2 linked regions of the Sus scrofa genome follow. The protein of the gene in region 1 interacts with the protein of each later gene in a biochemical or structural test. Links are inferred from orthologs where the notes say so. Each region holds a gene or a part of one and is shown on either strand. Other genes may lie near its edges.

What was found. The genes of interacting proteins can lie anywhere in the genome.
Region 2: of the proteins of CUL2 (region 1) and DCUN1D5, one has a biochemical effect on the other in vitro, tested with the Homo sapiens proteins (2 studies listed by BioGRID, with this or other methods). The link is inferred for Sus scrofa from reciprocal best matches to the Homo sapiens genes CUL2 and DCUN1D5.

The regions. Positions count from the first base shown.
Region 1 is NC_010452.4:57,824,554-57,831,494, forward strand, and holds the start of CUL2 (cullin-2), read right to left. Parts: upstream 4,836-6,941; 5' UTR 4,256-4,835; intron 1-4,255.
Region 2 is NC_010451.4:33,679,351-33,685,365, forward strand, and holds the end of DCUN1D5 (DCN1-like protein 5), read right to left. Parts: intron 4,385-6,015; coding exon 4,276-4,384; intron 4,189-4,275; coding exon 4,084-4,188; intron 2,106-4,083; coding exon 1,878-2,105; 3' UTR 1,717-1,877; downstream 1-1,716. UniProt on the Homo sapiens protein: Contributes to the neddylation of all cullins by transferring NEDD8 from N-terminally acetylated NEDD8-conjugating E2s enzyme to different cullin C-terminal domain-RBX complexes which is necessary for the activation of cullin-RING E3 ubiquitin ligases (CRLs).

The DNA.
Region 1 (6,941 bases):
AAATGATCTAAGCCAGAGGTCAATGGGCCTTCTAGGTAGTCCTACCCCAAATCTACTTGGGTCAAAATGTTTTCATTCAGCCTGTGTGAACTAATATTGATCTCATATTCTTCCCCCATGCATCCTCCCCTCTATATTTAATATAAAGTTTCATAATAAAAAACCTCACCACATTCAGGATTTGAGGTATTTTCTTTAAGAAAAAGAATGTGAACTTACACCTAAAAAATGTTAGGGCCCCACAGAAGGTCTTGGAAAGAAAATTCAAGCTTTATGGTAAATCATTTGTCTCTGACATCTGGAAGAGTTTAAACAGTCTATTAGCTGTACAAAAACAATGTTACGAAGAGACTAACACAAATACACATTTATAGCCCCACACATACATGCATGCACACACAGCCCAGGAGATTGTACAAGACATTATTTTAGCCTCTTGAATGGTTTTCTTCCTTTTCTTTCCTACTCTCTGCCTTCTCAGTCTTTTTGACTCATTTTTTTTCTGGTTGCCTAGAACCTTGATGTGGTGGGGAAGAAGGGATTTCTGCCTTTATTTTCTAGTTCTTAGCTCGTGTTAAAGAAATTTTAGGTAAGCATAGTGATGTGCAAATACTAGGCACTCAACAGATCAACGTCAAAGTAACTCACTTTATAGGTCAATACAGAATCAAGGTTTTACAGGTTTTTGTTTTTTTTGTTTTTTTTTTTTTTTGTCTTTTTAGGGCCTCACTTGAAGCACATGGAGGTTCCCGGGATAGGGGTCTAATCAGAGCTATAGCCGCCAGTCTACGCCAGAGCCACAGCAACACCAGATCCGAGCCGCATCTGCAACCTACATACAGCTCACGGCAACGCTGGATCCTTAACCCACTGAGCAAGGCCAGGGATCGAACCTGCAACCTCATGGTTCCTAGCCAGATTCATTAACCACTGCGCCACCACAGGAACTCTGAGTTGTAGTTCTTTAAATACATTGTGTATTAATCTCTTATCAGGTATATGATTTGCATTATTTTCTTCTAGTTCTTATTTTGTGTTAAAGAAATTTTAGGTAAGCATAGTGATGTGTAAATACTAGGCACTCAATAGATCAATGTCAAATTAATTCACTTTATAGGTCAATACAGAATCAAGGTTTGTCAGGGTTTTTTGTCATCTTTTTAGGGCCGCACTTGAAGCATATGGAGGTTCCCAGGATAGGGGTCAAATTGGAGCTATAGCTGCTGGCCTATGCCACAGCCACAGTAACGCCAGATCCAAGCTGGTCTGTGACCTACACCACCACTCACAGCAATGCCGGATCCTTAACCCACTGAGTGAGGCCAGAGATTGAACCCACATCCTCATGGATACTAGTTGGGTTCATTACTGCTGAGCCATGATGGGAACTCCCAGACTAGGGGGTCGAATCGGAGCTATAGCTACTGGCCTACACCATGGCTCATGGCAACATTGGATCCTTAACCCACTGAGCCAGGCCAGGGATCAAACCTGCAACCTCATGGTTTCACTGCGCCACCACAGGAACTCCCATTATCAAGATTCTTAAAGGTACACTCATGTTCTAGAAATGAAACAGTGTTACACTTAACAAAGGTTAAATATGATGCCGGGATTTAGGTTCCAAAAAATTAAATAATTTTATACAATAAAGGGAGTACAATTAGTGCTAGCCACAAGGTTTTTTTTTTTTTTTTTTTTTTTTCCTTTTTTGCCACACAGGCAACATGTGGGAATTCCTGGGCCAGGGATTGAACCTACACTGCACAGCAGCAACCAGAGCCACTGCGGTGAGAACATAGGAGCCTCAACCTCCTAGGCCATTAGAGAACTCCCACAAGCTTTATTAAAAGCCATAAACCCGGCTCCTAAAAGAGGCAGCCTCTTTACAAAAAAAAAAAAAAAAAAAAAAAAAAAAAGAAAAAAATCAACAAACACTGTAATAAAAACATTTCACACATAAAAAATTAAGATTTTGGCATGAAACAATGTATTTTATATGTAGGAAGCTATGAAAGATGAGAAAAATATATATCCTGACCAATTACTGAAACAAAGATTTAAAAGGTTAGAGGGCTGGAGGCTAAATCAAAATGTGTGAGTTTGGGAGTTCCCGTCGTGGCGCAGTGGTTAACGAATCTGACTAGGAACCATGAGGTTGCGGGTTCGGTCCCTGCCCTTGCTCAGTGGGTTAACGATCTGGCGTTGCCGTGAGCTGTGGTGTAGGTTGCAGACGCGGCTCGGATCCCGCGTTGCTGTGGCTCTGGTGTAGGACACTGGCTACAGCTCCGATTGGACCCCTAGCCTGGGAACCTCCATATGCCTCCGGAGCGGCCCAAAGAAATAGCAAAAAGACAAAAAAGTAAATAAATAAATAAATGAAAAGAAAAAGAAAAATAGTTTAAAAAAAAAAAAGTGTGAGTTTGCTCGTATAAATACTCCTTTTGGCAATAAAGGAAAAAGGACAAATTATACCTGAATTGCCCTTACCTGGTTTTCAAAGCAAAGTGGTTATGACCAGGGATGGAACCTAGATCCCAGTGCTCACACCACCAAGCCACAGCGGGAACTCCAAACGAACAATCCTTCTATTTATTTTTTTATTTTTTAATTTTTCGGCTGCACCCACGGCATATGGAAGTTCCTGGGCCAGGAATCAAATCCCAGTGACTTAATGCCACAGTTCCAGCAGCTGTGCTGGGCCGGGCATCAAACTGGCAATGCCAGAGACAAGCCACATCATTAACCCACTGTGCCACATTGGGAACTCTGATATCTCATTTTAGATTTTACAATAATCTTTTTTTTTTTGTCTTTTTGCCTTTTTCTAGGGCTGTTCCCACGGCATATGGAGGGTCCCAGACTAGGGATCTAATTGGAGCTGTAGCCACCGACCTACGCCAGAGACACAGCAACACAGGATCCAAGCCGTGTCTGCAACCTACAACCACAGCTCGTGGCAATGCCGGATCCTTAACCCACTGAGCAAGGCCAGGGATCGAACCTGTAACCTCATGGTTCCTAGTTGGATTTGTTAACCACTGAACCACGATGGGAACTCCAGATTTTACAATAATCTTAAAGCATAAATATGAGAAACTGAAAAATCAGTTACTGGCATTTCTAATCAAATGCTTGAATTGTTTGCAAGGGATGACCCTGAAAGGTAGGTGATTTGCCTCAGGAGCTCAAGCTTCTATTGGAATCCTGTGCTGTGTGCTGGGAGAATTACACCGCAACCCAACGCCCCCAAAATATCCACATCCTAATTCCTGCAAACTGTGAACATATTAGGTCACATGGTAAAGGGGAATTAAGGTGGCTAATTCCCTGGTTTTGAGATGAGGAGATTATCCTGGCTTGTCCAAGTGGGCCCAATGAACTCACAAGGGTTCTTATAAGTGGAAGAAGGAAACAAAAGAAAGAATCAGGGAGATGGCAGCAAAAGAAGGACTCAACCAGCTATCGCTGGCTTTAAAGAAGGAGGCAAAGGGCCATGAGCCAAGGAATGCGGATGGCCTCTAGAAGGTGGAAAAGACAAGGAGATCGATGATTTCCTGATATTACCCCATAGAACTTTTAAGTCATCTGTTTTAAGCCGCTAAATTTGCGGGAATTTGTCATAGCAGCAAAAGGAAACTCCATGTACCTTTCCTGCCTTCTCTCTTCAGATCCCAGGTACTCTGTCACTCTGTCAAGAAGAGCAGGTACTCTTCCCCCTGCTCTCAAGGATTTGATATGACATTTATATCACAGTGTGTGTTGATGTAGCAGCCATACTTACATTTTAAGCCCTTGGTCTAAAGGAATCTAACTATAAAGACTGTATACTTTGGTAAAGGAAATTTCAGAATAAACAAGTAGGTAAGGAAGAACAATGTTTTTGAGTGATTACGATTTCCCCCAAATCACTTGAAGTTCAAAATCTGTTCCTCCAGCACATGGTCAACCTTGACCAAAAGGAAAGTTAGGATTTTTCGGTTTTAGCAGTCTAGACTTTTTTCTTCTCTTTACGATAACTCCTTTTTTTCTGAGCTAAAATGAGCTACATTGATTACTTAGAGACATTCTTTTTGTGTCAACACACACAAAAGAGATTTGGTTAACTTCTAAATTTAACTTAAAAAAATTAATTTGGCAATGTCCCTCATTAAGAAGCTAATTTTTATAAGGAAGTGGAGACAGGCATTGCCCATCGCTCTAGAAGGAGGAATTTCAGAATTCTGCCAATGGGGAAAGAAAGACGTGAACTTACCAGGTTTTTATCCTCTTATCTCTGCTAGTACACATTACAGCTGAGAGTAGTTCGGGATGACCATAATCTAGCATTGAACAGTTCAGAATTTTCCTCTACTGGGAGAACTCCACTGGAATTCTAATATTTCACAAAGCTTCCCTTTTCCTCCTGCGCTACGTGGATTATGCTTTTATTTTCTTTTCTCAGCAACTTTTCAAGCAGTGTCCTTGACGAAGGTTCCCGGTGTGACCTGCTCCTAAGAGTGGGTGTACAAAAGATGACCGTCTCTCCTACTGTAAAGCCCCGGGTTCCAAGTGAACGAAAATGAAACTCCTCTGTTCCAGACCTGGGCTTCAGCTATTCAGCTTTCCTCTCCTCCGTCACATCGCAGGTAGGGACAGCGCTGTGTCCCCGCGCAGACTAGGTCGCCGGGGAGGCGGCAGAGGGTAGGGCCTCCGGGGCTCGCGTCCGGCGACATCGAGGTGAGGTCCACAGGATGCTCTCGCGGGCCTCTGCTGGCGGCTGAGCTCGCCCGGACAGGTGACCGACACACAGAGGCCTGGAAAACCTTGATTACTCTCCAATTGATTGGCTTCCGGGAGCAGGCTCCGCGAAGCAGCTTCCGGCTTCCGGGCCGCGCCTTAGGCCACGCCCCAAACTTGGGCCTCCTCCCCACCCACCCTACTTCCTCCTCCCGGCCCCGCCCCTAAGCTCTGGCTCACCTCCATGCCCCGCCTCCCACTAGGCCCCGCCTCTCATGCCTCCCCTTCCCCACCCCGTTCTATTCAATTGTTGGATTGTCTGCGCCGCACTCCCGCCGGTGGCCGGCAGGGGGCGGGGTTCGAGCGTGGATTTCCCCCGGCGTCCCCGGGGAAGGGGCAGGCGCTGCGCGGCGCGGAGCCGGGCGGGCAGGCGACGCGAGGCCGCGTTGGGTCGCGCTCGGCGGGGAGGCAGCAGCGGCAGCATCAGCGCTGACGTGGGGCGACGTGGGACGGCGCCGGTCCCGGTGGGGCTCTTCGTCCCACCTCCTCGCGTCCGTAAGCAGTGACGAGGCCCGCTACGTAAATCGCTTCGCAGCGGGTAAGTGGAGCGCCGGCCGGCGGGGCCCGCGGAGCCTGAGGCGGAGGCGCTGGCGCCTGAGCGGGGGCGGGGCGGGTAGCGCGGGCGGTCCCCGCCGTTTGCCCCGCGCACCCGGCGGGCGCTTTCGGAGGGGCCAACGCTCCTGCTCCGAGGGAGGGGAGGCCGCGCAGGGCGGGCGGGCCCGCCAGGCGGCTCCCTCCGCTCCCCTCGCTCGCCCCAGTCGCCGCCTCCCGGTCCTCGCGGCCGGAGACCGAGCGAGCGGGATGCGGTCGCGGTGCTGCTGGAAGGCGCACGTCCCCCGCGCCCCCTTTGCGCCGGGACCGGCCGGCCTGGCGCGATCCCCGGAGCCGGAGCTGTGAGCGCCGCGCCTCCTCCGACGTCTTCCCAGCTGTCCCGAGTGTGAGCCGCTCACGCTCCCCGCACGGCCCGGGAAGCCGCTGCCGGCCCTGGGTTGAGCGATGCTGACCCTCGGGACCAGCCTCGGTCCCCACCCGGTATCCGGAGGCTCACACCAGTGGTTTCCGAACTCCTCTGCCTTTCCTGCCTAATTCGCCCGGCTGCAGCCGCCCTCCCTAGAAAAAAATACTAACCGAGATGCGCAGGGCCAGAGGTCCCCGATGTGAAGGTCGTGTTAGATTACTTTAATAACTCGTGCTCTGTAGTCTTTCCCTGGGGGTACCACCACATTTTTCTCCTAGTCTTGATCCTCCTTTTGGATAACACGCTGCTTTCCCTTCATAAGTCACAGTCTTTGAATTTTTTAACTTCGGAACTTTTTCTCCCCCAAGAAAGGCAAATTGCAAAAAATGTGTTTTGGCCAACTAATGCTAAGTAGTAAACACTGATGTTTAAAGAGCTGCTGATTGATCCAAAGACAACTTTTTAAAAGATATTTAAATGGTTTTGAACCTGGATGAGTATAAACACTGAACGCATTGTCATGTTAAGTGTTGGTAAAGACACAACAGTTTTGGTGCGTCGGTAAATAGTTCAGTGTAAGCACGTGCTTTGCCCAGTGACTTGCTGGTCCACCTGGGGTCGTTTTGGTGAGTGTGAAGCTGTAATTACACGTGTGTTTTCTGTACATATTTTGTAAGAGTGAGTGAATAAAATTTTTTGAATGTGTAAACACAGAGGAGCTCTTTAGTCTTTTTGTCTTCGCATTATCTCAGAAGGTTAATGAAGTGGTGAATTCAGCAAATTCCAGACTCCGTAGACTGCTTTTGTTTGCTACCGAGGCGAATCATTGCATGATTCAAATATGAAACTAATGTTTAGAATTATGGCCATTTCATGAAAAGTAGAAGCGTTTCACATTAGTCACATACATAAGGAAACCTGAGTGAATCTTTACCAGGATAGACGTGTATTCCTGATCCTGACTATTTTCTCCAACCTGGTATTCTCTACAAGTTAATATTGGGCCAGAAGAGTAAGCCGGGTTTATTGTGGAAGTGGATAATCTATTGGAAAGTGCTTAAATGCTGTGTCGCATTTAGATAGGCTTTAAAAATAAAACTGAACAATGCAAACACTTAACAGCTGAACCATTGATGTTTTGACATGAAGTCAACATTGGCCATTAAGGAGAGTTCCCGGGTGGCACAGCGGAAACGAATCCAAC
Region 2 (6,015 bases), on another chromosome or scaffold:
GTATTTGTAGAAACCTCTTCTCAAGACTGAAGTGGTTCATAAATTCTCCAATGAGCAGGTCAATATTACCTAGTTAACCCCTTTTCCGACTGCCCAGAGCTTTCTGCCATTTAATAATCAAACAATTTGAAAAGTGTTTAATGCAGTATTTCTGTTACCTCATCAGGAAGTGTGTATGTTTGTTAAAGGAGTGGCCCTATTAGAGCCTATATATTGTTCCAGTAACCTATCTGGACCTAACAGGACCTATCTGAACACAAAGCAAGTACCTAATAAATACCTGACCTAAAAACTACTGTAAAAAGATATTTTTATATTACAGGGGTTTCAAATTCAAATTCATTTACTTATAGAAGTCAGACAGGCAATTATTTTATTTATCCTTTTTATAGTCATATCTGTGGCATATGGAAGTTCCCAGACTAGGGGTTGGATTGGAGCTGTAGATGAGACCTATGGCACAGCCACAGCAATACAGGATCTTAACTCAAGTGAGTGAGCGAGGCCAAGAATCAAACCCACATCCTCACAGAGACAACATCAGGTTCTTAACCTACTGAGCCACTGTGGGAACTCCCAGATAGGCAAGTTAAATGAACTCAGAGTTTATTTTTTTGTAAATGTAGGAAAACTCATTACCACAAAGAATATGCTTGCCCTTTTCTCAAAACACAGAACCTTCTGGTGGCCTTACTTTTTCTCTTGCTTTTGATAGACGTATTTCTCTACTGTACAAAAAATAGCAGAGTAGCATAGTAATAAATGACAACTGAAAAGCAACCCAGATATTGGCATACTATGGACCAGCACATTGGAAAACAAGTCCAACATAAGCCACTACTTGGTTCCAGCCTAATTCAATAAATTCTAATTTTTCAAACAAATCCAGAAGCTATATTTTTACACAAAATCTGTTATAATGTTGACACAAAACATGAAACACATCTGCAGACCATATGTTTACTGACTGACAGTTTACTACTCCAAGGTATTATTTCTAAAAATATTAAATTTTATACTATTTTGTAGGGTGGAGACAATATACATAGGGAGAAATAATGTTGTCCCTTACTCAGTATTTTGTTTCTTCAGTGTCACAAAAATATGCCCATAATTTCAGTTTCCATTTATAGGAATGTATCTTTTTTATGTAACCCTTCACAACACTAAAACAATGCATTCAACCAAACTAATGGTGGGAAATTCATAGTTCTAGAGCATTTTTAATCTATCATTACTTCAAAGATCTATTTTATGGCATTCTGAATTTCCTGCTGAAGGGTATGGATATTTTAATTTGCAGGATTAAAAAATTGTAAATATTTCACTACATATTTACTCAATAATTTCTGAGGGAAGTTACTTTGATATTATTTGCCAATGGGGAACGGGTATTAAGATATTAACTTTAAAGCTTTTGCTATTGTAGCTGATGCTTTGCTTTCCTATTTTTAAAATCATGACTGCCTTTTCTTATATAGAAAAATGCCAGGAAAGGCAGGAAAAAAGCAAAATTTTAGCTTCTAGCTATAGAAATTAGTCTAAATTTAGCTATAATGCTCTGCTACCAAGGAATCAAAAACATTTCATATACCAGCACAGATCTGATAATGTTGCTCTCTTATCTTCTCTATCTGCCTCCCCCCCACTTCCCACATAATTAAATAAGAACTTCTGTTAAGAAGTTTAAATTCTTTTTTTTTTTTTTTTTTTGTCTTTTTAGGGCCACACCCACAGCACATGGAAGTTCTCAGATTGGGGGTGAACTGGAGCTGTAGCTGCCGGCCTACACCACAGCCACAGCAATGCTAGATCCCCAACCCACTTAGCGGAACCAGGGATCAAACCAGTGACCTCATGGATACTAGTCAGGTTTGTTACCACTGAGCCACAACAGGAACTTTGAGGAAGTTTAAATTCTTTATGGTAATGCAACATAGATGTATGTTCTCAATAGTTTTAAGAATTTTATTTTCATGGTAAAACATTACATTATACTTACAAGCACCATCTTCATCATAGTTACTAAGATCGGCGTGGACAGTTCTGCTGAATTCTAATACATTGTACCACTGATCTTTGTTCATAACACGATACTTTGATTGCTGTACAGAACAAACATTTATTAGGACTTGACTTCAATAAATGTAATTATAACACCTTTTTGGTGATTTATCTCTCCCCATTTATTCCTCTTTTATTTATTTGTGTTACTAAGAAAATCCTCAGGAGCATTCAGATGTTAACATTATCAAAGTTATTTTTCCCTTTATTTTTCTTTCATTCCTGAGAAATAAAAAGAGCATCAAGGGCACTAATAGCAAGGGTAAAACTTAATAAATTTTTATCAATGCATATGCTTGTATAATCACCAATGAGATAAAAAATATATAACATTTCTTATATCCAGTAAGTTCCCTCCTTCTGCTTCTCATTAAATCATTTCTTCGCACAAAAATTAGTGTTAAGCCTCATTTGGAAGGTGGCATCTTTGGAGGCAATGAAAAGGGTTCAAATCCTAGTTCTGCTACTTAGCCCTTGGAAAGTTATGTAACAACAGAACATACTTCCTCACTGGCTAAGAGGGAATAAAACACAATTCAAATGCTGCTGGTCAAACACTCTTCACATAACACTGCCTGAAAACACTTAGTTCTCTCAGCTCCTTTTAGAGGAGAATATTTAAAATTCAGTCGTATTTATTTCTGCCCCAACTTCTAATATGAGGAAAATTGACAAAAAAATACAACAAAGAGTCTACTTTATTAGGCTTAAAGACATAAAGTGTACACAAAACCCATTCACATAAAACCTTTTCATACCACTGTCTCTTATCACAAGCTTTAAATAAAACTACTCTGGGGAACCTGCTATAATAATCAGCTTTATGAGAAATTACTTTAGAAGCAAAAGCATCCATATTCAAGAAATGATGAGAAGTACCAAAAAATTTAAAATTGAAAAGTCACGGAAGCAGAAAACCAAAGAAAGCAATGGAAAAAAGGACAGTATCTTCTTCAAAAGCACTTCTATCATAGCACTTCAGGATCTTAGGTGCTGTGATAAACCCTCTAAAAGAATATTTTCTTGATAAATTCAGCATACATTTCTCAGTAATCACTATATTTAAGTACAGTCTCATATTTGTGGACATAAAATATTAAAAGCTTTATTCTAATTCTTTAGCTTGAGCCCAAGTTTTAATATTATTATCAGTTTTCTTATGTTGATTTAGCCTAAAACCCTGTGTAACAGAAAGTGATTGAGAAGCTTGAGATTTGTGCACTGGCATCAATTCTCTTCCGCAAAAACCAAAGCAGCTAATTTTACATAAAGAACATCTATGCTAAAATATTTCTTGAAATTTTCATCATTTTTTTGGGGGGGGGAGTGGGTGGGTTGGAGGTACAAGGCATGGAATAAAAATAATTTATGTACAGAATATATTAATGAACATGAACTCACATCTAAAAATGACAGCAGAGGAGTTCTCAAGAGGCTCAGCGGGTTACGAACCTGACTAATATCCACGAGGATGCAGGTTCAATCCCTGGCCTCACTCAGTGGGTTAAGGATCTGGCATTGCTGTGAGCTATGGCGTAGGTCACAGACATGGCTTGGATCTCCCACTGTTGTGGCTTTGGAGTAGGCTAGCAGCTGTAGCTCTGATTCGACTCAGCCTGGGAACTTTCATATGCAGTGGGTGTGGCCCTAAAAAGCAAAAATAAAATAAAATAAAAATTACAGCAAATATGTACCCATTTTAACAAATTTTCAACAATTTAAGCAGATTTTTTTAAAAAGCACAATACTAAAAAATCTACTTGTTCCCTTCCCTTGTGGTGCAGTGGGTTAAGGATCTGGCATTGTCAGTACAGTAGCGCAGGTTGCTTAGACCCCCTAGCCTGGGAACTTCCACAAGTCATGGGTGATGAGGAAAAAAAAAAAAAAAAAAACCAACAACAACAATAAAACAATAAAACCACGACCAAAACAAAAACTACTTTTTTTTTTCTTCAGTTAAAGGTATATTTCCAATCAGATTAAGGTTTAAAATATTATTTTCAAAGTAAAAATACATACCTCCAGGTACTGGTAAAATACTGAAAACAGTGGCCATGTCCTCCCAAGCAGAAGAGCTAACATAGACTTAGCAGTATCAATATCAAGGCTTCTCTGATCTTTGTCCTAAAATATAAGTTAAAAAAATTTTCTAAATGTGGTCTCAAGTCTAAAAAAATACATTAAAGCTGCAAACACTGAAACTCCACCTACCCTTGCAAAATCAAAGGCATATCTGTAGATATTCTTAAATGAAGAAATGTCATTCAACTGTGAGCGCAGAAAGTCAAATTTGTTCTGTAACTTTTCTGTGCAGTCACATCTTAAATTAAAAAAAAATCAAACATTATATAATTAAGAAAATTAAATAAAAGCATCTTTGGGGGTTAGAAATAATGCAATTAAAGAAAAAAGTGAGCACATCTATGAAATTAATTGAAGTTTAAAATTCTCTGATTCACAAATTTAGAATAACAAACTTGTTGACTTGATCTACCAATGCAATAAAAAAAGGAAAAGGGGAAAAAAGAGTCAAAGTTCACTCCGATAACCTTTCTTTTAAAAAAAAAAAATACAACTCAATCAAAAAACTCCAATAAAGTCACAAATATTTGATGAAAAATTTCAGTTTATTAAAATATGCTTTCAACACAAATAAAGTAAGATGGCAGAACAAAGTTAATCAGCTGTCTGACACAAATGTCACTGGAAAGTTCTTGGGCACCAGCTTGGCAAAAGAGATTAGCCATGATTGGTTTTAAAATTTTAGCATATAACCCAGAGGAAAATAAATTTCATTAGTGATTCAGTCATAAATTCAAATACCTACATTTTTAGTAAACCAAAAAACCCACAATAAATCAGTGACAGAATCTAACTTCACATGAGGTACATATACAAAAGAAGGCAAACAAGTTATATATGTTATTTCTAAAGACATTAAATTTAAGAAGCTAAAGAGATGGAATGCTCAAAAATATTTACTGTTTTTCTGACTTTCTCTGGGTTGATATAGTACACTATTTAGCAAGAAGCAAGGCAAACAAAACCTTTCAAAATTGGCACACATCTCCAGTCTCATCTCTTGCCAGGTCCCAATATCCTTAAAATATAACTGTGATTTATATTTATTTCACTTACCATTCCTAAATGCCATAGTTACGCTTTAGCACACATTATTTTACCTACTTGATATGCTATTCCTTCTAACATTTTGACAAAATACTACTCTTCAAAACCTAAATCACATTTAGCCCTCTTTGAGATCAATCCAACGCCCTTCAATAAAATTGTGTCTTGTCTACAGTAAACAACAGTATTCCACTCAAAACTGAATTTCGGCACTCATTACGTAGACACCTAGCATTCTCAGATTTAACCAAGACTTTCACTATTATAAATCAACAATGTGATGTGCAGTAATTTATAATTTTATTAAGGTGTAAATATTTTCAATAAATTTCTAATGTTGTTTAGGCATTCTTAGAATAAACCAAACTAAATCATGTTAGCTGTTTTATACATTATTAGGTATTTTGCTATGTTCATAAGTGAGACTGGCTTGTAAATTTTATACTTTGCTAGTTTTGTAAGAAACTTATAGCATAAGCCTCAAAAAAAAAAAAATAAGAAATGAGAACTACTACCTTGTTTTCTGAAAAGTTTACTAAACATTGGAATTAGGATTTGTCCAAACTCAATAGCAGAAACCTAGGCCTTTTCATTGAGGAAAAGAAAACCTTCTAACTACTAAATCAGCATTTTTAATGGCTTATTTTAAGGCCGTTCAGATTTTCCATTTCTTTTTAATCAGTTTTGGTCATTTATATACTTTTCTGATTATTTCACATATTTTATTTAAATATGCCAATTAAAATATTTAAAACATTTTCTAATATGCATTATATATTTTTGCCTTTTCTTTCTTTTTTTGATCACCCTGCCAAAATTTCT